Linked DNA regions of Callithrix jacchus. The protein of the gene in region 2 interacts with the protein of the main gene of each other region in a biochemical or structural test. Links are inferred from orthologs where the notes say so. Each region holds a gene or a part of one and is shown on either strand. Other genes may lie near its edges. The genes, in order: GRK2, ADRB2, GRK6, NHERF1 and MAGI3.

Region 1 (3,971 bases), on a different chromosome or scaffold from region 2:
GGAGTTGAGAGAGGGGCATGTTGAAATATGAATGCTGCCTTGAGACACTTGGCTTTCCCCACTCTGGGTGGACTCTCAGCAGGGTGGTTTTTCCCTGCCAGGTTTCCCCACAGTGAAACCTCTGTGCCCTCCACAGCTGGGAGAGGTTTTACCCCACATGTGGAACAATCATGAAGGAGCATCTGGAAGGGATTGGGTACAGGGAAGGGAGCTGCCAAGCATGCTGGCCAGGGACCTGGGTCTACGAGCCGGTTGGGGGGTGAGGTTGGGTGCAGGGTCCTTGATCCTGAGTGTGCCTCCTGGGCCAGGATTGGTTCTGGAGTAGGAGGGGTGGGACGGGGGATGGGGGAAGCCTGTAACTGGAATGCAGTTGTCAGGTTCCAGGTTCTGGGCGACCTACTAAGGATTCTGGGTCCCGTGTGGGCCCCAGGTTGGATGTCCTAGTCCTGAGTCCGTGTCCACAGTTCTGGGTGTTGGGTCTAGGACAGTGGTCTGGAGTTGGTAGTCCAAGTCTAGGTCTGAAGCCTGACCCCAAGTCTAGGTTCAGGGTCATGGTAGTGGCCTGGAGTCAGAATCAAGGTTGGGGTCAGTAACCAGGATGGGACCGAGGTCATGGTCCAAAATCTGGATCTGGGACCTGTTGGGAATCTGGAGTGAGTGTCACAGTCTGAGTATGGCGTTGGAGACCCAGGGCTGTGACATGAGGTCATGGTCGGAGTCTGAGGTGGTGGGCCAAGTTTGAGTCTGGAGTCTGGTGTTAGGTCGTGACTGCGTCCAAGGCCAGGGAGTACGGGGTTAAAGCCAGGGTCTGAGATGGAAGCCCTGGGATCGTGTTCCAAGGTCTGAATCTGTGTCTCGGTGAGCGTCCAGGGTCCTTGTGATCCACATCTGGTGTCAGGGCCACGGCCTGATTGGGGAGCCTGGAATCCAGAGATGTGACCCGAGGTTATGGTCAGGGAGTGGGTCTGGGGTCGTCTTCGGTGCCGGGTCCCTGTCGTGTTCCAGGCCCGGGTCGCCGCCCAGCATCCAGGGCCGCGGTCAAGGCCAGGGGCTGAGCCCGCGGTCTCAGGTCTGGTTCGGGGTCAGGCTCCGCGCGGCCTCCAGGGGGCGCCGCCGCCCGCCCGGCTCGGGCCCTAGCGGGCTCGCTGGCGCTGTGCGCGGCAGGCGGGGCCGGAGGCGGCAGCGGCTCCGGGGCGCGGGCGCGCGGGCGGCGGTGGCGGCGGCGCCCCGACTGCAGTCCCGGCGGGAGCGGAGCGCAAGCCGGGGCCGGGCCCGAGCCGGCGCCATGGGGCGGCGCCGCCTGTGAGCGGCGGCGAGTGGAGCCGCGGGCGCCGAGTGGGGCCAGGAGGGAGGCGGCGGCGCCCGAGGCCGAGCGAGCCGCGGCCGGGCCGGGCCGAGCGCCGAGCGAGCGGGAGCGGCGGCGGCGGCGGCGGCGGCGGCGGCGGCGGGAGGAGGCAGCGCCGCCGCCAAGATGGCGGACCTGGAGGCGGTGCTGGCCGACGTGAGCTACCTGATGGCCATGGAGAAGAGCAAGGCCACACCGGCCGCGCGCGCCAGCAAGAAGATCCTGCTGCCCGAGCCCAGGTGAGGAGAAGCCGCCCACGGCCCCAGCCGGACCCCACGGGCGCCCCGGACGCGGCCCCAGACCAGGGACCCCGCGCTCGACCCCGCGACCCGGACTCCCGAGGCCGGTCCTCGAGACCCCCTGTCGGCCTCCCAGCCCGGAGCAGCGTGGCCTTGGCGCCTGCGGATCCAGACCGTAAGCCCCAGACCCTGGCGCCTGAGCCTAGAGCGCCCCGACTCCTGAGCTCTTCTGCCCCATCGGCCCCCGGATCCCCTCGGATACCCCAGGCCGCCCTGCTGCCTCCTTATCGCGCTCCGTCGGCCCCCCGCCCCGCCGGTCGCTGTCAGCCTCTCGCTCCCGCCTTCTCCCACAGGGACCCGGTGCACCCCTTCATCCTCCTAGCAGCCCTTGGTCCCTGTGGGGTCCTCTCCCCTCCGCCGGCCACCATTTACCTCGCCTGACCATGTCATCCACCCTTTTGCTGTCCCTGTTCCCGGGCACCCGCCTTGGGGTTTCTACTACCCCCACCCGTCTCTCCTATCTACACTTATGTGAGGTGTGGGGGGACAGCCAGTCTTCCGGACTCTTCTCCCACCCTCTGGTGGGGTCGCTGTCCTGGAGTTGGGCTTGAGAGTGCTTTCAGGGCGGCGTGGTGTGCAGGACCTGGGGTGCTGCGGGCACCCACCCCCTCAGACTGCGCTCAGGTGGGGGAAACATCCCCTGTGCCCTCTCCCCCACATTCCTTCTCTGGCGGGCCCTGCATATGGTGCCCTGTGGGTGCTGTTAACCAGGGACCCTCCCAGCACACCTGCAACAGCTGGACCTTAGCTGCCACCTCTCTGTAAGTCAACTGACATCACACCTGGTATCAAAGTTTAGACTGTTCAGGATGTAGTTGCAAAAGTACACAGGATGTGGACGATTGCTGCGGTTTGTCCAGCATTTTATGGCTGATAGAGTCTCCACTGTGTGAGCCTCTCAGCAGCTCATGGGGTAGGGAGGACAGGTGTGGCTTTTGTCCCTGTGGAACAGGTGGGGAAACTGAAGATCCAGAGGTGAGTAGCCTGTCCAGAGTCACACAGGTAGTCCCAGGTAGCATCTGGCCAACAGATCAGGGCTTCAGACTTCCGGTTCTACATTTCATTGGCTCCTCTGGCCTGTGCCAGGGAGCAGATGTGCCCGCCACGATTCCTTGTGTCGTGTGGCAACTCCTTGTGCATGCTTGACAGTTAGCCTCCTGGTGCCCACTGGGGCCTGTCCACACTGCTGTGGTCTTATCGTGTGACTCTGGGTCTTATCTTATGACCTACCCTTCCCGCACTGGGCCTTGGTCTTCTCATCTGTGAAATGTGGATGGCGTGAAATAAGAGCTGTGACTCTGCGGTGTCCCTCGGCCTTTGAAGCAGCCATCTCAGCCCCAGCTGACACTGCAGGGCTGCCATGCCTATGGCCTTCACTGGCCCCCTCTGCCATGCCCTGCTCACCGGTGTTCAGATTGCCTGAACATCAAGCCTGAGAGAGGAAAATTGGTCTGCATTTTGAAAAGGCCGTTAGGGCCTTTATTTTTTTCTAAGACATTTACAATCAGATTTCTCAAAACAGGAACCAGACTGACTGTCAGCTGGGGGCTGTCCAGGGAGCAGTGACAGTTAGTACAGAAACGAGTTCAGAAATGACAGCGCCACGAGGGAGGAAACGGGGGAGTCAGCCTCTAGGGCTCGAAACGGCTCTCCTTGGTGGCCGCAGCCTCGAGATCCCCCTGCAGGATGGAGTTCTGCAACGTGTGAGGCGGGGCCTTTTCTGGAACTGTCTGCCTTCGGGTGATCTCTCCCCAGAATGCATTGCTTCAGATGGGGCGCCGCCTTGGCTTGGCTCTGCAGGTGTTGGAACCCTGAGAAATGAGATGTTCTTTCCCTGTCCCCTTGCCTGTCCATGGTAGTGATGACGGTGATAGCAATAATGATAGGAATTATTACTGACTTGCTTATTTTGACATCTGTCATCTCAATTCAGCCAACAACCAACCTGTGAAGCTGGCAAGGTGATGCCTGGCATGTGGTAGTTGCTCAAGAAATACCAGGACTGTGTGATGCCCCATGCAGTCCTGAACAGAAACAAGATCAGTTGGGATTCTAGGAGGACAGCAGGAGGCCGAGCCGGGCAGCCTAGATTTCACATTGGGTCACCATCAGCAGCATGGCTTTCGGCATATTGCCCACATCCACTAGTTCCAAATGTCAGTATGCTGAGGCCTGGGAAGGGCTGCGGGCTGCCCTGCCTGGGGCTCCAGGGCTGGGGCATTGGAGGCAGGCCACCCTTTTCGTAATGCCTTGCATACCCAGGGGTTGCAGAGGCTCCCCCACCCGGGAAGGTGATCCTGCCGTGTCTCACGTTTGCCTGGCACTTT
Region 2 (4,312 bases):
AGGGGCTCTTTTGCAACGTCTGGAGACATTTTTGCTTGTTATAACCTGGGGGTGCTATTGGTATCCAATGAATAGAGACCAGAGGTGCTAAACATCAAAGAGTTATCCGGTCCAAAATGCTAATAGTGCCAGGGCTCAGAACCTTGGTTTAGACTGAAGCGAGGAGAGTCAATGGGAGAAGAAAACAAGGACCAAAGGAAGGAAGAAAAAGGGGTTAAAATTCTGTTTTGAGGTCATGAGGTATCCATCAGTTACATGTTCTCCAGCTTTTCTCCCCATGTCCAATGCCTTTTAATTATTCCGTGGGATTGCAGGGCCATGTTTGAGTAGCTTTTTCATAGGAACATCTTCCTTGTACCTAAAATTCCAAGCCCTGATGCAGTACAAAGAGCTCCACTATAAGACATGGCCAAGACATAAATACAAGCAGTTATGAAACAAGTAGAACTGGAAGGTGGGCAGTGGGGGTGCGTGAAGGGAAGAAAACATATGCCTATAACGCCGTTTCTATGAGTCAGTGTTGCTGAGGTAACAACACAGAACAATAACCATAGGGAGAGCTGAGCTATACTAAGAGCAGGCAGAACTGATTCGGAGCACAAGTGTCAGGAGAGACGCAGCTTTGCAGCAACAGATTCAAAAGCAAATGAAAGGGTTAAGCAATCTGTGCATGTCATTCCGTATCATTCCACATTAAGTCATGGGCAGTTATTACAAGTAGTTACCTGTGGTTTCCAGTGGGGGAGGAAACGGCACTCCAGTCAAGGGGTTTTGGAGAAACAGGTGCAGCGAAGGCATGGTCAAACAATTTATTTACTGTAAACTTTAGACTTTGCTCAGGAAAACAACTGAAACTGCCCCTCGAATCCCTGCCTAAAATACCCCGTGTAAGCAAATAAGAGGAGCGGGGAAGAGTCCATGTTCACAGCTAAAAGGTCCAAGATACTCAAAATCCTCAAGTTCAAGGGTGTAGGAAGGAAAATCTCCTTCGGATACAAATTACCAGCAGCAATATATTACCCCTAATACTTAAATAGTGAGGTAGATACATGGAAAAATCATCAAAACATAGCAGACCCAGGTCCTCTAGGACTAAAGCCCTTCAGACATAAACTTATAAGTTCCATGCAAAGAGGAACTGAACTGTACAAATAACAAATAATCAAATAAGTTTTCTCTCTTTTTACAGCTTAAAAAAATAAAAAAGGCAGAAGGGTGCCCCTCCTCCTGCATATCTCTATACAATTTTATTCTAAGTTTATTACACTCAAGTTAAATAGTCTGTTTAGTGTTCTGTTGGTGGGGGCGTTCTTATAAAGTAGAAAAACTGCTTTACAGCAGTGAGTCATTTGTACTACAGTTCCTCCCTTGTGAATCAATGTTATCGCTAGGCACAGTACCTTGATGGCCCACAAAGTCTTCCGTGCCTGGAAGGTCTTCACACAGCAGTTTATTTTCTTTCTCCTGTTCCAGGTGATATCCACTCTGCTCCCCTGTGTTGCCGTTGCTGTTGCTGGAGTAGCCATTCCCATAGGCCTTCAAAGAAGACCTGTGCAGGCACAGAAGTTCCTGGAAGGCAATCCTGAAATCTGGGCTCCGACAGTAGATAAGGGGGTTGAAAGCAGAGTTGACATAGCCCACCCAATTTAGGAGGATGTAAACTTCCTTAGGGATGAGGTTATCCCGGATCACATGCACAATGTTGACGATAAAGAAGGGCAGCCAGCAGAGGGTGAAAGTGCCCATGATGATACCTAACGTCTTGAGGGCTTTGTGCTCCTTCAAGCAGAACTTGGAAGACCTGCGAAGTCCATGTCCCGTCCGCCCGTCCTGCTCCACCTGGCTAAGGTTCTGGGCATGGAAGCGGCCCTCAGATTTGTCAATCTTTTGGAGCTGCCTTTTGGCCACCTGAAAGACTCTGGAGTAGACGAAGACCATGACCACCAGGGGCACGTAGAAGGACACGATGGAGGAGGCAATGGCATAGGCTTGGTTCGTGAAGAAGTCACAGCAGGTCTCCTTGGCATAGCAGTTAATGGCTTCCTGGTGGGTGGCCCGGTACCAGTGCATCTGAATGGGCAAGAAGGAGGTAAGGCCTGACACGATCCACACCATCAGAATGATCACCCGGGCCTTATTCTTGGTCAGCAGGCTCTGGTACTTGAAGGGTGAAGTAATGGCAAAGTAGCGATCCACCGCGATCACGCACAGGGTCTCAATGCTGGCCGTGACGCAAAGCACATCAATGGAAGTCCAAAACTCACACCAGAAGTTGCCAAAAGTCCACATTTTCATGAGAATATGGCTGGCCCCAAAAGGCACCACTGCCAGGCCCATGACCAGGTCAGCACAGGCCAGTGAAGTGATAAAGTAGTTGGTGACAGTCTGCAGACGCTCGAACTTGGCAATGGCTGTGATGACCAGCACATTGCCAAACACAATGGCCAGGACGATGAGCGACATGACGATGCCCATACCCACCACCCACGCCTCGTCCCGTTCCTGCGTGACGTCGTGGTCCGGCGCGTGGCTTCCATTGGGCGCCAACAAGAAGGCGCTGCTGTTCCCGGGTTGCCCCATGGCGCGCAGTCTGGCAGGTGAGCGCACTGGCTGCCGGCGCCTCAGCGGGCGGATCCCCGGCGGGGCTCTGAGGGCCGCGAACGGACGCCTGGAAGCCTCATTCAGCGGCCGTGAGGTGGGTGTGGTGGGGGCACGTCCTGCACACTTAGCTTGTCGGGTGCTAGGGGCTCACGATGCCAGCCAGTTCCAGCCCGCCCTCTGGAGAAGCCGCCTCGGAGTGCGTACTGCCCGTTATGTGCACAGGACTTTAGGAGAACTGCCCTCGCTGTGACGTGCGGGAACTTTCGGCCAATGGCACGCCGGCAGCCCCGTAGGGGCGAGGCACCCCTCCGCTTTCCTCCCCTCCCCTCACCCTCCCTCTCCCGGGGCTGGCCCGGGCGGGGCCCAGCTGCTCTTTGGCGGGCGGGCCACCACTCCTTCCCGGCTACCCGGGCTGGCCCCAGAGGGCTAAAGCTGGAGCTGGCGTGCTTACCAGCCAACCCGGGAGCTTTTTTGGCTCTTCTGTGGCCGCTACCTGCCTGCCCTGGGAGCCTGTGCAGTCTGAGGTCTCAGGGCAAAGGGCAGCACACCGGCACTGCCCCACATACGGAGGGAAACGAGAGTGCCCACCGAGGCACGCACATACAGGCACAAATACACCCCGGCAGACATGCTCAGACTTATACGGAACCACAGCCATAGACACGGAGACACACCCTCCCAGGGCACCCGCAGGCACACTCGCGAGCGCGCTCACACAGAAGCCGTCAGGCACAAAGTCACCCCTGTCCAACACAGAAACGCGGCCAGAAACAAACACAGAAGCACCAGAAGCACAAAGGCATCGTGACACACACAAAAAGTAAACACAAGCCGGCTTAGAGGCATGCAGAGCGACACAGAGGCGGATGTCTCTATCTGGGTACTCACAAACTTCCCCCACCTGAGCGCTGATAATGCCCCTCTCCCAACATACACCCAGTAACCCAGTATATTCCCTTTCAGACATTTGGCAAGACCGCAGGAGGTGACTTCAGCAGCTGCCGATTTCCTCAGCACACTCACTGTCAAGTACTTTCGGTGCCCTCTTTGGGAATTTGCAGGCATCAAGACAGTTTTACCCTTTGGATTTCATTCGGAGAGGGGGTAAGGATGTATGTATTTTGGGATGGAGAGAGAAAGTTCTGTGCTTTCGTTTTAGTTTCGTTTTGTTTTTAACTCTTAATAAGAGTGTGGCATCACTCACTCATCTGTTGGACAGGAGATGCACTGAGAATTCAAACAATTTCTTCAGTAATCCCAATGCAACTAAAAAAAATCCTTTCATCCTCTGGATAGTTTGTTAATCTTTCAGGTTGAGCCATATGAAATTGCCACCATTTGGTGTCTGTGACTTACCAAAACGGCAAATTCATATGATTCAGAGTATTAAGAATGTCTTAAGATTAAGAACTTTTTGAAACTATAGAAAGCAAAAGATAATTCTCCCTTAAAAAAATAAAGTAAGACCAAATCTCAAAACTAAGATCTTTGTTCACAAAACACTACCCTTTGCATCTGGCATGTGACTTTACCTCTAAAGTTAAATTAATTTTCAGGGTTTGATTTCCCATGTATTAGTGGTGCCTTTGAAAAACTGAAAGTAATTCATGAAGTGTAACTAAACATACTTTGTAGATTACATAATAACTAACAATGGCTAACATTTATGGTCCATTCTGCTATGTACTTTTCATGCATTAGTCTATTTAAT
Region 3 (3,512 bases), about 21 Mb from region 2:
AAGGCAGAGCGCAGCAGAGGCACTGGGAGGCTGCCTGGCCGGAGCCCAGCCCATACCCTGGGCTGCATGCCCACTGTGCTGCCTGGAGCAGTTCCAGGGCAGTCTCTGCCCAGGCTGTGGTCACTCCTCTCCCTGTCACTGGGCTCTAGTGGCTGCCGTCATCTCTCCATCACTGCTCACTCACCATGTGGCTCAGAAAATTCTGCATTAGCCGCCGCCCACATGCCTTCCGCTTCTCATCTGGGGTCACTTCATACTCAGCCTGCAGGGTGGAAAGCAGAGAAGCTGGAGGTCTGGGCAGAGCAAACAGCAGAGAAACAGGAGGAAGGGCACATGAGGCTGAGACCTTGACCACCCATGGGGCTGGGCAGGGCTGGGCTGCACTCACCACCCCATCCAGGAAGGTGATGCAGCGGCTCAGCTCCGGCCTCGTGGCACAGAACTCTCGAAACAGCAGGCGCCCAATGGGCTGCCGCTCGCACAGGCTGTGGTAGTCACGCTCTGTGGGCAGAGATGGGAGCTGCTGGGTCCACAACCCCAGAGCCCATGGATGGGGCACTCCTGCCCATACCACCAGGCTCTGGGCCCCCACAACAGCTTCCAGCTCTGCAGTGTGGCAGCCGTGATCTTCTTCAGAATCCTCACCGCAACCCTGAGGTAGGTACAGCTATGTTGGGGCTATGAGGCCCAGAGAAGCTAACTGACTAGCTCAATGTCACACAGCCAGGAATCTGGCTCCAGAGCCCAGGCCTCCACCCACCTCCCTGCGATGGTCTCCTGCTTTACATGACTTGCATATGTCACAGTACCGGGGTTGGGTGCGGTCTGTGATGTTCCGGCCCAGCCCAGCCTGGGCCAGGCCCACACCTGCTGCCTGCCTGGCGAAAGTGCGAGAGGAAGCTGTGGCTTCCGGCAAGCTCTCAGCTGGGCCTCCTTCCCAGGAGGTGGAAGCGGCCTGGGTGCGCTCTGGCCATGTGCAGGCCACCGGGGGGCCTCAGCAACCTTAGGTGCTGCTCAGACCTGGGGCCTTGGCCAAGATTGGCAGGAACTGGGGTCCTGGGCCCTTCTGTCCCCTCCCAGGAGTAACCCTGTCACACTGCCCAGGCTGAGGGTTTCTGATCAAGGCTTTGCTAGGCACCACTCAAGGCTGGGCCTGGGAGGCTAAGACCCGGCCTGGGGCTCCCAAGGCAGTCAGTCTGTGGGCTGGCCTAGCTGCCGCTCCCTCTGTCCTGTGGATGCTGCTCACCCTAGCTGGCTCTCCTTTCCAAAGCGGACTCATCTGCCCCAATCTGCCCCTGCCCTACTCCTGACACCACTTCAACCACCTCCAGCAGTATGACCCTGTTTGTTGTCTGCTCTCCAAGCATTCCAAGCCTGGGAACTGAAGCTAGGCTCAATGGTGCAGCCCCATCCTCCTGCTCACTGGAGCCACCAAGCCTGCCCCTCTGCCCCAAGGCAAGGTCTCAGGGGAGGCTCCCCCGGCCCTAGCAAGGCCCCTCGCCTCAGCATCCCCAGGCTCTGCCCAGGCCTCACCGAGGCTGAGCCGCAGCTCTTCACACTGGCTGATGTGGGGGAACTGGAGCATCTGCCGCCATTTCTTGCTTTTGCCTTTTCGATTCCCACCGCCACCTGTGGGAGCAATCAGGCACTGGGTCTCAAGTCCCACTGCCCCAGGACTGCCTCTGGGTCCTCATTGAGGCTCAGGGCCTCTAGGGCCCAGCCAAGGCGGAGCCCACTCTGGGCGGCACCTTGGGCTTTCCCAAGCACGTTCCAGCACGCTCTTGCCGCGTTCCAGGACACACGTGGTTCTCCTGCGTCAGGCTTCTGAGCTGGGAGAGCCAAGAGGAGCAATAAGGTTGCTGGGGGAGGAGATAGCTCTGACAATGGGTCCAGCCTCAGTTGCCTCCCACCAGGTAGGAGTTCCCCCGGTTAAGAAAGGAGAGAAGGGCATCACAGTGGTGGGAACTGCAGAAGGTCCAGGAGGGAAAGATTCTAGGACAGCAGGGCAAGCCCGAGAGATGTACAGGGCAGCCTGGAACAAGGGGGCTCCCAGACCTCTATCGCCAGGCTCCACATCATGGCTATCAGATGCTCAAGCAAGGCAGGGGCAAGGGGAGACACTCAGGACTTTCCTTCCCCTGCACACAGGGGTTCCACGGCCCCCTGCCTGCCTTGCTTGACCTCGCAGACCCCCATCTGCAGCGGCTGAGTCCACGACAGCTCAATTGCCTGCAGAGCCCAACAGGTATGGGAAACGTGGGCCAGATGTGAGATGACCAGGAACAGAGAAGGCCCCTCTAACAGGCAGCTGTAGCACAACTCCAGCAGATTGCCTGATTGCTGCTAGGCGGGTTTCTGGCTCAGTGTGGCCAAGCCAGCTCTTCTGATTTTTCAAAAGCAGCTAGAAATTCACTCTTACATAAAATATTGGCCCCCATTTTATTAAAAAAAAAAAAAAAAAAAAAACAGGGCTAGGCACAGTGGCTAACACCTCTAATCCCAGCACTTTGGGAGGCCAAGGCAGGCGGATCATGTGAGATCGGGAGTTCAAGACCAGCCTGACCAATATGGAGAAACCCCATCTCTACTAAAAATACAAAATTAGCCAGGTGTGGTGGCGCATGTGTGTAATCCCAGCTACTCAGAAGGCTAAGGCAGGAGAACTGCTTGAACTTGGGAAGCGGAGCTTACAGTGAGCTGAATGTGTGCCACTGCACGCCAGCCTGGGCAACAAGAGTGAAACTGTCTCAAAAAAAAAAAAAAAGCCAGGCATGGTGGCTCATGCCTGTAATCCCAGCACTTTGGGAGGCCAAGGTGGGTGAATCATGAGGTCAGGAGTTCAAGACCAGCCTAGCCAATATGATGAAACACCATCTCTACTAAAAACACAAAAATTAGCCAGTGTGATGGCTCATGCCTGTAATCCCAGCTACTTGGGAGGCTGAGGCAGAAGAATTGCTTGAACCCAGGAGGCAGAGGTTGCAATTAGCCAAGATCACGCCACTGCACTCCAGCCTGGCGATAGAGCAAGACTCTGTTTCAAAAAAAAAAAACAAAAAAAACCTCACTGCAGCCAAATAAATAAAATGTGTCAGAGAGGGAGCCAAATGTGTGTGGCCTATGGGCCACCAGGTTTAGGAGGGAAGGGGCCTGAGCCTCCCAGAGCTGGGTCTGAATTTCTGAGTCACACTGTAAGCCCATCACTTGCTATCTGTGAACCTGTTTCTCCATGTGTGTTATGTGGTGAATAGGAGATACCGTCCACATCGAGTAGGGCTGAATCAAGAGGTGAGCCCCAGCTCCAACAATTCTATGGCAACCTTAGACAACCACTTTCTCATGCTGGGCTTCAGTTTCCCTCTGGTTTTCCAGTCCTGTATCTATCTGGCCTGGGTGAGGGCAGGTGGTGCAAGGGTAGAAGTTGCCTTCTAGGGAGGGGGCAAAGCAAGGTCCCTCGATGACTCCCTGACCTAAGCTGCCTGGAGGAGGAAGTATTGCAGGAGCCCATTGAG
Region 4 (4,127 bases), on a different chromosome or scaffold from region 2:
GCCAACCACTCTCTGTGCCACACTTTTCCACTGAGATACTCACTTAAGAGCTGATCAAGATAAGGGAACAGCCCCACCTTGCACACAAATTCAAATGAAAACAAACTGGCAAACCTCAATTTGATGCTTTATATAGGAAAGGGATGCGTTTTAGAAAAAATAGCTCTTACAATGTTTGTTAACATTTCTTGCAATAACCGCATGGGCCATCCGCAAGCTTCACACAGAACGGTGTGGGATTTTCTGCTAGAGGGACTCAGTGGTGCTGACTGTGAGTCAGTTTGAAGCAGCTGGGATTCAAACGCCTGGGCATGACGCAGTGCAGCTCAGTATTGAGTAAGGGGCTTGAGTACTTCACATCATTTCTAAAGTTCTAGAGAAGGCAGGCATAACATCATCCAATGCCTCCACCTCACAGACGGGAGAACCAGAGCTCAGAAATCCTGGGACTTGGCTGGTGATAGTGTCCCCAGGGTTTGCTGGTGGCTCTCCTCTCATCTCCTGGTCTAAGGAAGTACACACAAATGTAGGTGTCCCTCTAAAACCTGCAAGAATCAAATTCTGTGCTCACCCAGGAAGCTCAAAGCCACGGCTTTTGAGTGTGTGTGCTACGCCAAGCCTCCACAGGAGCCTCCCAGGCCCTCTGGCACCCAGCAGCGTAACCAAAAGGGCAAAGGGAGGAGCTGAATGAGACTGCAACTTGCAGTAGGGTGGGGGTATCCGTGAGTGCCAAAGTCCAAAAAAAAAAAAAAAAAAGGGTCAAATCGATCGATGGACTCAGCACAAAGTTCACACTGGATTTCTGCCTGGGATTAAAGATCATTGGCCCCAACCTCTGGTGTCAACCCCTTGCTCTGGGTGCTCCGATCCCTTCCCCCACCCCTTGCCAATGCCAGCTTGGCAGGGGCAGGAAGTGGGAGCCTGGTGGCCCTGGCATTCCCAGCACCCAGCTCTGGCCGGACAGGTCTCTGGTGACCTCACTTCCACCTAACCAGTTGATCCCCTACCTAGGGCTTTGCCTTCCACCTTAATGCTGAACTGTGTGGTCTCTCTGTCCACGGAGGATCCTCCTGGCCCCACGGACACTCCCACCACACACTGCCACCAGGGAGAGCTGGTGCAAGCTGAAGGGGCCCTGGGAGGCTCAGGCCCTGCCCTTCGCAGTGTGCACCCGAAGCTTCCTCACTCCACTCTCTGGGGACAGGAGACTCAGCACAACTCCTGTTTTGCCAGCTGCCCCTCCTGCAGCTGATCCAAACCAGGATCCCATGGGCAAACACCAAACATGGGCAAAAAGCAACCGGCCTGCTGGCTCTGTGGGCACGAGTGAGCGTGGCAAGGCCAGGGCAAGACCACCGGCTCGCCACTTGCCTCAAGAGCTCTCTCCCCTCCCCCCAGCCATCTTCCCCTCCTTCCAAGGTCTTCCCCCTCCCCTCCCTGATACAGGCGCTTACTCCTCACATTCCTGAGTCGTAAATCCTCCTGGGTGGCAGAACCACCACTCAGAGATGCCTTGACTCCTCCTCCCGCCAAGCACCCCCACACCGCCCTGAGATGGCGGGGCTTTCTCTCCCTTGGAAGTTACACCGCACTCCGGGAGGATGAAGTCCAGCAGGGCTGAAGCTGATTGCACACACCGGCGGGCTGAGGGAGGGCCACCTCGCGCCGGGGCTCCGCACAGGAGGAGGAAGGGCTATTCCTCTAGCTTTTGAAGTAGGGGTGGTGGATGAAGCTGGCACCTCTGGGGCGGAGAGTCCTTCCTCCCGAGCCCATCTGCGGACTGGGGTGAACGATGAGAGGGCGCCAGGGAGGGGCAGGATTGGTGGATTACGAGCAGACACAGACCTGAGGGAAGGGGGACTGGGTTCCCCTGCGCTGCCCTCTCAAGGGCCAGGGAACAAGAGGTGCAGGTGGCAAAGGCGCTCAGGCTCCCAGCACAGCCAGGGAAGGAGAGAGGTCGCGGGACGCAGCCCCAGGCCTGCCTAGGATCTACCAGGGAGCCTGGTCGGCGGGCGGAAGCCGTCTCCCCCTCGCAGTTAGAGTTTTCAGAAAGACAACGGCGGGCGCGGGGCTGGACGGCCGTGGCGCCTGGGTCCCTCCCGATCCCCCTCCCACCTCATTCCAGCCGGCGCCGCCCCGGCCCGGCTTACCTGCTCCGGGTGGCTCTTGTCGGCCTCGCTAGGCTCATTTTCGTTGCCAGCCCCCTGCGCCTCGGCGGCGGCTGGCGACTCGGCCTTGCCCGGCGCTTCCTGGGTGCGCAGCAGCTCCTCGCGGACCTGGACGCCGAGCTTCTGCAGCTGCTCGTCCGTCTCGGGGTCGACCACCAGCAGGCGCACGGCGTTGAGCGCGGCGCGGATGCGGCTCACCACCTGCTGGTGGGTCTCCTTCTCCACGTTCTCGCCGTTCACCTCCACCAGCCGGTCCCCGGCCAGCAGCCCTGCCTTCTCCGCCGGCGAGCCGGGCTCCACCAGCCGGATGTACTGGCCCACCTTGCCCTTCTCGCCGTGCAGGTGGAAGCCGTAGCCGTTCGGACCCTTTTCCAGGCAGCAGAGCCGGGGCAGGGGCGCCCCGGCCGCCGCGTCCGCGCTCATCTCGCCCTGCGACGACTCAGCTGCGCCACTCGGGGTTCCGTTGGAGACGGGACGGCTCAATCCTTCTTCCCGCCCAGAGAACCGGGAACGCAGCAGGGAAGCCCAGCGCCGCGGGACCGGCGAAGCGAGCAGGTGTCCCGGGAACCGCCGGCCGCCGCGAGCCTTGAGGAGTAAAGAAAGGAGCGCGGACCAATCCCCGCCTCGCTCGGCGTCTGAGCTTTCCAGAGCCCGCCCAGGCTCCTTACCCCGGGGGCGGGGCCACGCAGAGGGTGTGGGACTCCGCGAGCCAATCGGAGGCCGCGGGCCGGGGCGCTGCTGCCGGGTGAACGGCGCCGGCCAATGGAAACGCGTGGGGCGGGGCCTGTCCTCGGCGCGGAGCCCAGTGGCGGGCGAAGACAGAGCGCTCAGGAAGTGGAAGTGTTTGTTGCCGAGCTGCCGGCGCTGGGGTGGCAGGGGCGGGGCCCGCTCAGTTCTCGGTTCTGGGTGGTGGGGCCCACCGGCTCCGGCCTGGTTTCCCCTGCCTGTGGCGGAGAGTGAGGAGAGGCCCTCTGGTAAAGGGACTCTTTTTTTCTTATTTATTTATTTATTTTGAGACGGAGTCTTGCTCTGTCTCCAGGCTGGAGTGCAGTGGCGCGATCTCGGCTCACTGCAGCCTCCGCCTCCTGGATTCAAGCGATTCTCCTGCCTCAGCCTCCCGAGTAGCTGGGATTACAGGCGCCCGCCACCACGCCCGGCTATTTTTTTGTAGATTTAGTAGAGACGGGGTTTCGCCGTGTTGGCCAGGCTGGTTTCAAACTCCTCACCTCAGGTGATCCACCCACCTCGGCCTCCCAAAGTGCTGGGATTACCGGTGTGAACCACTGCACTGGCCAACGTTTTAACAGCCTTTAGCCAAAGCATGGGTGCAGCTCTGCTTAAGGGGGACCGGCTGTTGCCGGGGCAACGGCTCCCGCGGGGCAGCGAGGGCCAGGCAGTCTTGAGAATTAAGACTGAGAGCCTCCTCGGACCCTATAGAGTTGTTTGAATAACATTTTTCCGTTTGTGGGAACCCTAACGCTAACCCACTTTGCACTGTCAGGCAGCGCTGCCTGACACTTGGCACTCCTCGCATAGAGGAGTGCAGGTTCTGATTCCTGCTTGGGAAGGTGCAGAGGTGCGGGCTCGGTGGAGAGCCTGGGACCTCGAGGGGCAACTCACTGAAGACAGGACACCTAGGGCAATGGCATGGGCTTTGGTGTCAGCGTTTGGCTAGGGAGGTGGGATGGGGAGAGGCAGAACAGACTCAGATAATCAGCCTCTGGGTACACTCCACAGGGAACAGAGCCTTGGTTTTTTTTTTTTTTTTTCCAACAGAGAAAGAAAAATGATTAGGACTGTAAGATAAGCCTTTAGCTCCCTCTTGCCAAAGAGAGGCTGGTCACAGAGGTAGGGAGTCTGTTAAGGGGGGAACTGACCCTCAGGAGAGACACTGAGAGGAGGATGGAATGATTTTGGCAGTGAATGACAATTCCGTCAACAGGACACCCCTCCCACACA
Region 5 (3,512 bases), on a different chromosome or scaffold from region 2:
TTCATCTTTGGCCTAAATCTGTCTCGCAGCCTGGCTTGTCCAGATCCTGGGATCACTCTAGCGCTCTTAAAACATTTCTTTTCAGGAAAAGAAAGATCAGTAACTGGAAATGTTCCCTTCTCAAAGAAATCTTTTGCAACCAGAACTAAAAACTATATGGTAAGAAGGAATAACACTAAAAGCTCTGAAGTCCTGGCAAAGCAAAAACTAGCCAAGTCTTTTTCATCTTATGTAGAGGCCTTTTCTAAGTACTTCATTCTTTCAGCAGTTGGACAAATTGTGAGGATGCTGAACCTGGATCCCTGATCTTTGAAAAAGTCAACAGTAGAGAAACTCAGAATTCCATAACAGGTACCAAGGATGCTACTATGAACTATTCTTGAGATATATGTCATCAGAAAATACCCAAGACGAGGTCCATAAAAAATGATCTGGCCAGGCAAGCGGCTCATGCCTGAAATCCCAGCACTTTGGGAGGCCAAGGTGGGTGGATCACCTGAGGTCGGGAGTTCGAGACCAGCCTGGCCAACATTGCAAAACCCCATCTCCACTCAAAATAGAAAAAAATTAGCCAGGCGTGTTGGCATATGCCTGTAATTCCAGCTAATCAGGAGGCTGAGGCACGAAAATCACGTAAACCTAGGAAGCAGAGGTTGCAGTGGGCCCAGATTGTGCCACTGCACTCCAGCTCAGATGACAGAGCGAAACTCTATCTGGAAAAAAAAAAAAAGAATGATTTATTCTGGCAGACAGGTTTCCTGCCTTTCCACCTGTGCTAACTCCTTTCTGAACCAAATCTTCTCTGTCATACAGTTTGCAGCAAGTGTTCGATGTCTGTGAGTAAAAGCTCCTCATTTGAATTTGCCCCAGGACCCTTTTCCTGTCTATATGTGAAAAATAAAATTCTAAGAAGAATACTCACAGGCCTCAACATTTTATGAGATTATTAACTAGCATTTCAGTTAGATGATCAATTCTGGTTTTATACGTTGACTAGAAATCTCAAGTATTTTATATAAAATTCATCAGCAACCTAAGCCTAATTTACCATTCAGCCTGATAATTAATGAGCTGCAAATACTCATTTCCTGCCACATCTTAGCTGCTGCCTCAATCTTACATTTTAATTGGGCTTTCTTTCCCATCTCATTATTAAGTATTGATGAAATTCTAAGTTTTTTTTAAAAGAAAAGTCAAGAGATGGTGATAATTTTCTAAATAATAATGATGGTGATAACAATGACAGCAGAAGCTACAACAGGCAACAGCAGCTAACATTTACTGAAGGCCTCGGCTAAGGGCTTCACATACCCTGGCTCCTTTAATCTTCACATTCATGAGACAGGAAGTGTCTCTACCATCCTCATTTTATGGAATAAACTCGAGCTCTCTGAGGGAAAGTAATTTGCCCAAGATCAGACAACTATTAAAAGATATAAGCAGGACTTGAATCCAAGTTTGTCAGATTACAAAACCCAACATTTAATGACACTATCTTATATAGAGATGAAGCATATCCATAAGTAAAATCATCAAAATTTTGTAAAACATGATTTAAACAAGGAAATATAAAACTACTTAAACATTTAAAAATTTTTAAAAATTTACAAATATATACATATAAAAATACTTAATAAACATATTTAAGCAATACAACTTATTTTACTGAATTCCTGTATATAGGTTAGTTTTATGGTGAACACCAGACTCTCCCCAAATTTCTGTACTACTAGAAAGGGAATATCTTCAATATAAAAGGTGGTTAGCATCTATCTACTAGAGTAATCTACTAGATTCTAGATTATCTACTATCCACTAGAGTAATACTCTCTCACTGTTTTAGTTAATCTGAATGCCTGGGGTCACTGCATGTTATGAGATTGACAGTATCATTATCCTAAATGGTTATCTGTTTTTGGAAGTACTGACTTCCAATGATACAACATGAAAAACCAACTAAAAGCTGCTTTCCCTTCATTTTTCTGACACAGACCATATAATCATCCTCACAGCATCAGTGACAGTTCCAGTTCCAAGTGTTCCCATGGCAACTGCTTTGGGAAAATGGAAACTAGCATCAGTGAGCAGGGACCTAATACTATAAGCAATAACTCATCCATGTCATGGACTCTTTTTCCCTTTATACACTTGCATTAATTTTAGCAAGATTTTTGCAAACTGATTTGGCTCACAACACTTTCCTAAAAGTGTTTTCTTTTTTTTAAACTAAAGTTTTAGCAACCACTCACTTGGTCAAAAAGGATCTCACTATCTAAAATAAAATCAAACTGACTTGTAAAGGCAAGAGCACATTTTCATGTGGTCAAAGATTTTTATCATTTGACTTGAAGCTGGTTCTCATATTCAACTGGATTTTATAATTATATTAAAAATTATTTTATAGAAGCATCAAGACAAATATTTCATTTGCTGAATCGTAATAGCCCTGAATATACTGGATGTAATTCCTTCTTTGATGATGGAACTGTTATAAATAAATTCATCTTTCTGGATTAGAATATTCTGTTAAACTCAATTCAAGATATTTAGATTCATTTTCCAATTGTTGACAAAATTTTTATGTTTTAATGAAACATTTATAAAAGGTATGCCTCTTATCATTCAACAAGGATAATTTATAGCTGGAATATGACAATTATTATTGAATAATAACATGAAATAACTAAAACATATTTGGGTTAAGATTTTTCTATTAATCTGCTTCGCTTCTTCTCAACTGCTTCTAGTATTTCTTTTCTACATATATGATTTATTCTAATTTTCAAAACCTATGTCCCCATTTAAAAAAACTCAGCATTATACCTTTCATTAAATCCATATCTATGACATACTATCTCAGTATAACCTTGATGCAAATGGAGCTTACTGAAACTTATTAAATATTTTATGGAATCTGAGATGATAGATAAACCTGAAGCCTGGAAGGTTTGGTTCAGATTACCTAATTTTGAAAATAAGGAAAGTATTCACCATTCTTAAAAAGATAGGTATCTAAGGGACTTTACATAGTTCCTAATTATTTCATAAACTCCAGTGGGAGCCTCAGAAAACTGGGCTTGCAGGGAGAGACAACAAGAAGCAACAGTCCTTACCTCCTGGAGGTGGTTTGTGTTTGGAGGTGAGAATGACAAAGCCAAACCCTTCATTTTCTTTTCGCTGCAAGACAACATCATAGGCCTCCTGGGGTGCAGGCCTGGCTGAGACCTCTGCCCGGTTCAGGCGGGGAGATCCATTCTGTGTTGAAATGAAGGCCTGAGAGCTGTCGTCCTCAGGTTGTTTTTCTATAGTAAACATAAGCAGTTTTGATATTTCTGGAACATCATAATTTCTTGTGACTTTATAAAGTGTTTTTATGGTAAGCCTCTCACAGAAAAAATCAGTTTCTAATAATATAAAGAATAGAAAAGCAGCCCCATATGTGAGCTTTGGGCATAATCTAAGTGAAGATGTAGGTAACAGCAGTCCATCCAACTTCCCAAATACTCAGGGTG

What was found.
Region 1: the proteins of ADRB2 (region 2) and GRK2 form a complex in vitro, tested with the Homo sapiens proteins (2 studies listed by BioGRID, with this or other methods). The link is inferred for Callithrix jacchus from reciprocal best matches to the Homo sapiens genes ADRB2 and GRK2.
Region 3: the proteins of ADRB2 (region 2) and GRK6 form a complex in vitro, tested with the Homo sapiens proteins (2 studies listed by BioGRID, with this or other methods). The link is inferred for Callithrix jacchus from reciprocal best matches to the Homo sapiens genes ADRB2 and GRK6.
Region 4: the proteins of ADRB2 (region 2) and NHERF1 form a complex in vitro, tested with the Homo sapiens proteins (3 studies listed by BioGRID and IntAct, with this or other methods). The link is inferred for Callithrix jacchus from reciprocal best matches to the Homo sapiens genes ADRB2 and NHERF1.
Region 5: the proteins of ADRB2 (region 2) and MAGI3 form a complex in vitro, tested with the Homo sapiens proteins (2 studies listed by IntAct, with this or other methods). The link is inferred for Callithrix jacchus from reciprocal best matches to the Homo sapiens genes ADRB2 and MAGI3.

Annotation. Positions count from the first base shown.
Region 1 is NC_133511.1:124,351,329-124,355,299, forward strand, and holds the start of GRK2 (beta-adrenergic receptor kinase 1), read left to right. Parts: upstream 1-1,162; 5' UTR 1,163-1,471; coding exon 1,472-1,584; intron 1,585-1,635; exon of another isoform or gene 1,636-1,759; intron 1,760-3,971. UniProt on the Homo sapiens protein: Specifically phosphorylates the agonist-occupied form of the beta-adrenergic and closely related receptors, probably inducing a desensitization of them. Key regulator of LPAR1 signaling.
Region 2 is NC_133503.1:47,515,380-47,519,691, reverse strand, and holds the start of ADRB2 (beta-2 adrenergic receptor), read right to left. Parts: upstream 2,804-4,312; 5' UTR 2,581-2,803; coding exon 1,401-2,580; intron 1-1,400. UniProt on the Homo sapiens protein: Beta-adrenergic receptors mediate the catecholamine-induced activation of adenylate cyclase through the action of G proteins. The beta-2-adrenergic receptor binds epinephrine with an approximately 30-fold greater affinity than it does norepinephrine.
Region 3 is NC_133503.1:68,706,481-68,709,992, forward strand, and holds part of GRK6 (G protein-coupled receptor kinase 6), read right to left. Parts: intron 1,630-3,512; coding exon 1,534-1,629; intron 653-1,533; coding exon 389-652; intron 263-388; coding exon 185-262; intron 1-184.
Region 4 is NC_133506.1:130,683,581-130,687,707, reverse strand, and holds the start of NHERF1 (Na(+)/H(+) exchange regulatory cofactor NHE-RF1), read right to left. Parts: upstream 2,806-4,127; 5' UTR 2,592-2,805; coding exon 2,151-2,591; intron 1-2,150. UniProt on the Homo sapiens protein: Scaffold protein that connects plasma membrane proteins with members of the ezrin/moesin/radixin family and thereby helps to link them to the actin cytoskeleton and to regulate their surface expression. Necessary for recycling of internalized ADRB2.
Region 5 is NC_133508.1:151,613,115-151,616,626, reverse strand, and holds part of MAGI3 (membrane-associated guanylate kinase, WW and PDZ domain-containing protein 3), read right to left. Parts: intron 3,303-3,512; coding exon 3,114-3,302; intron 1-3,113.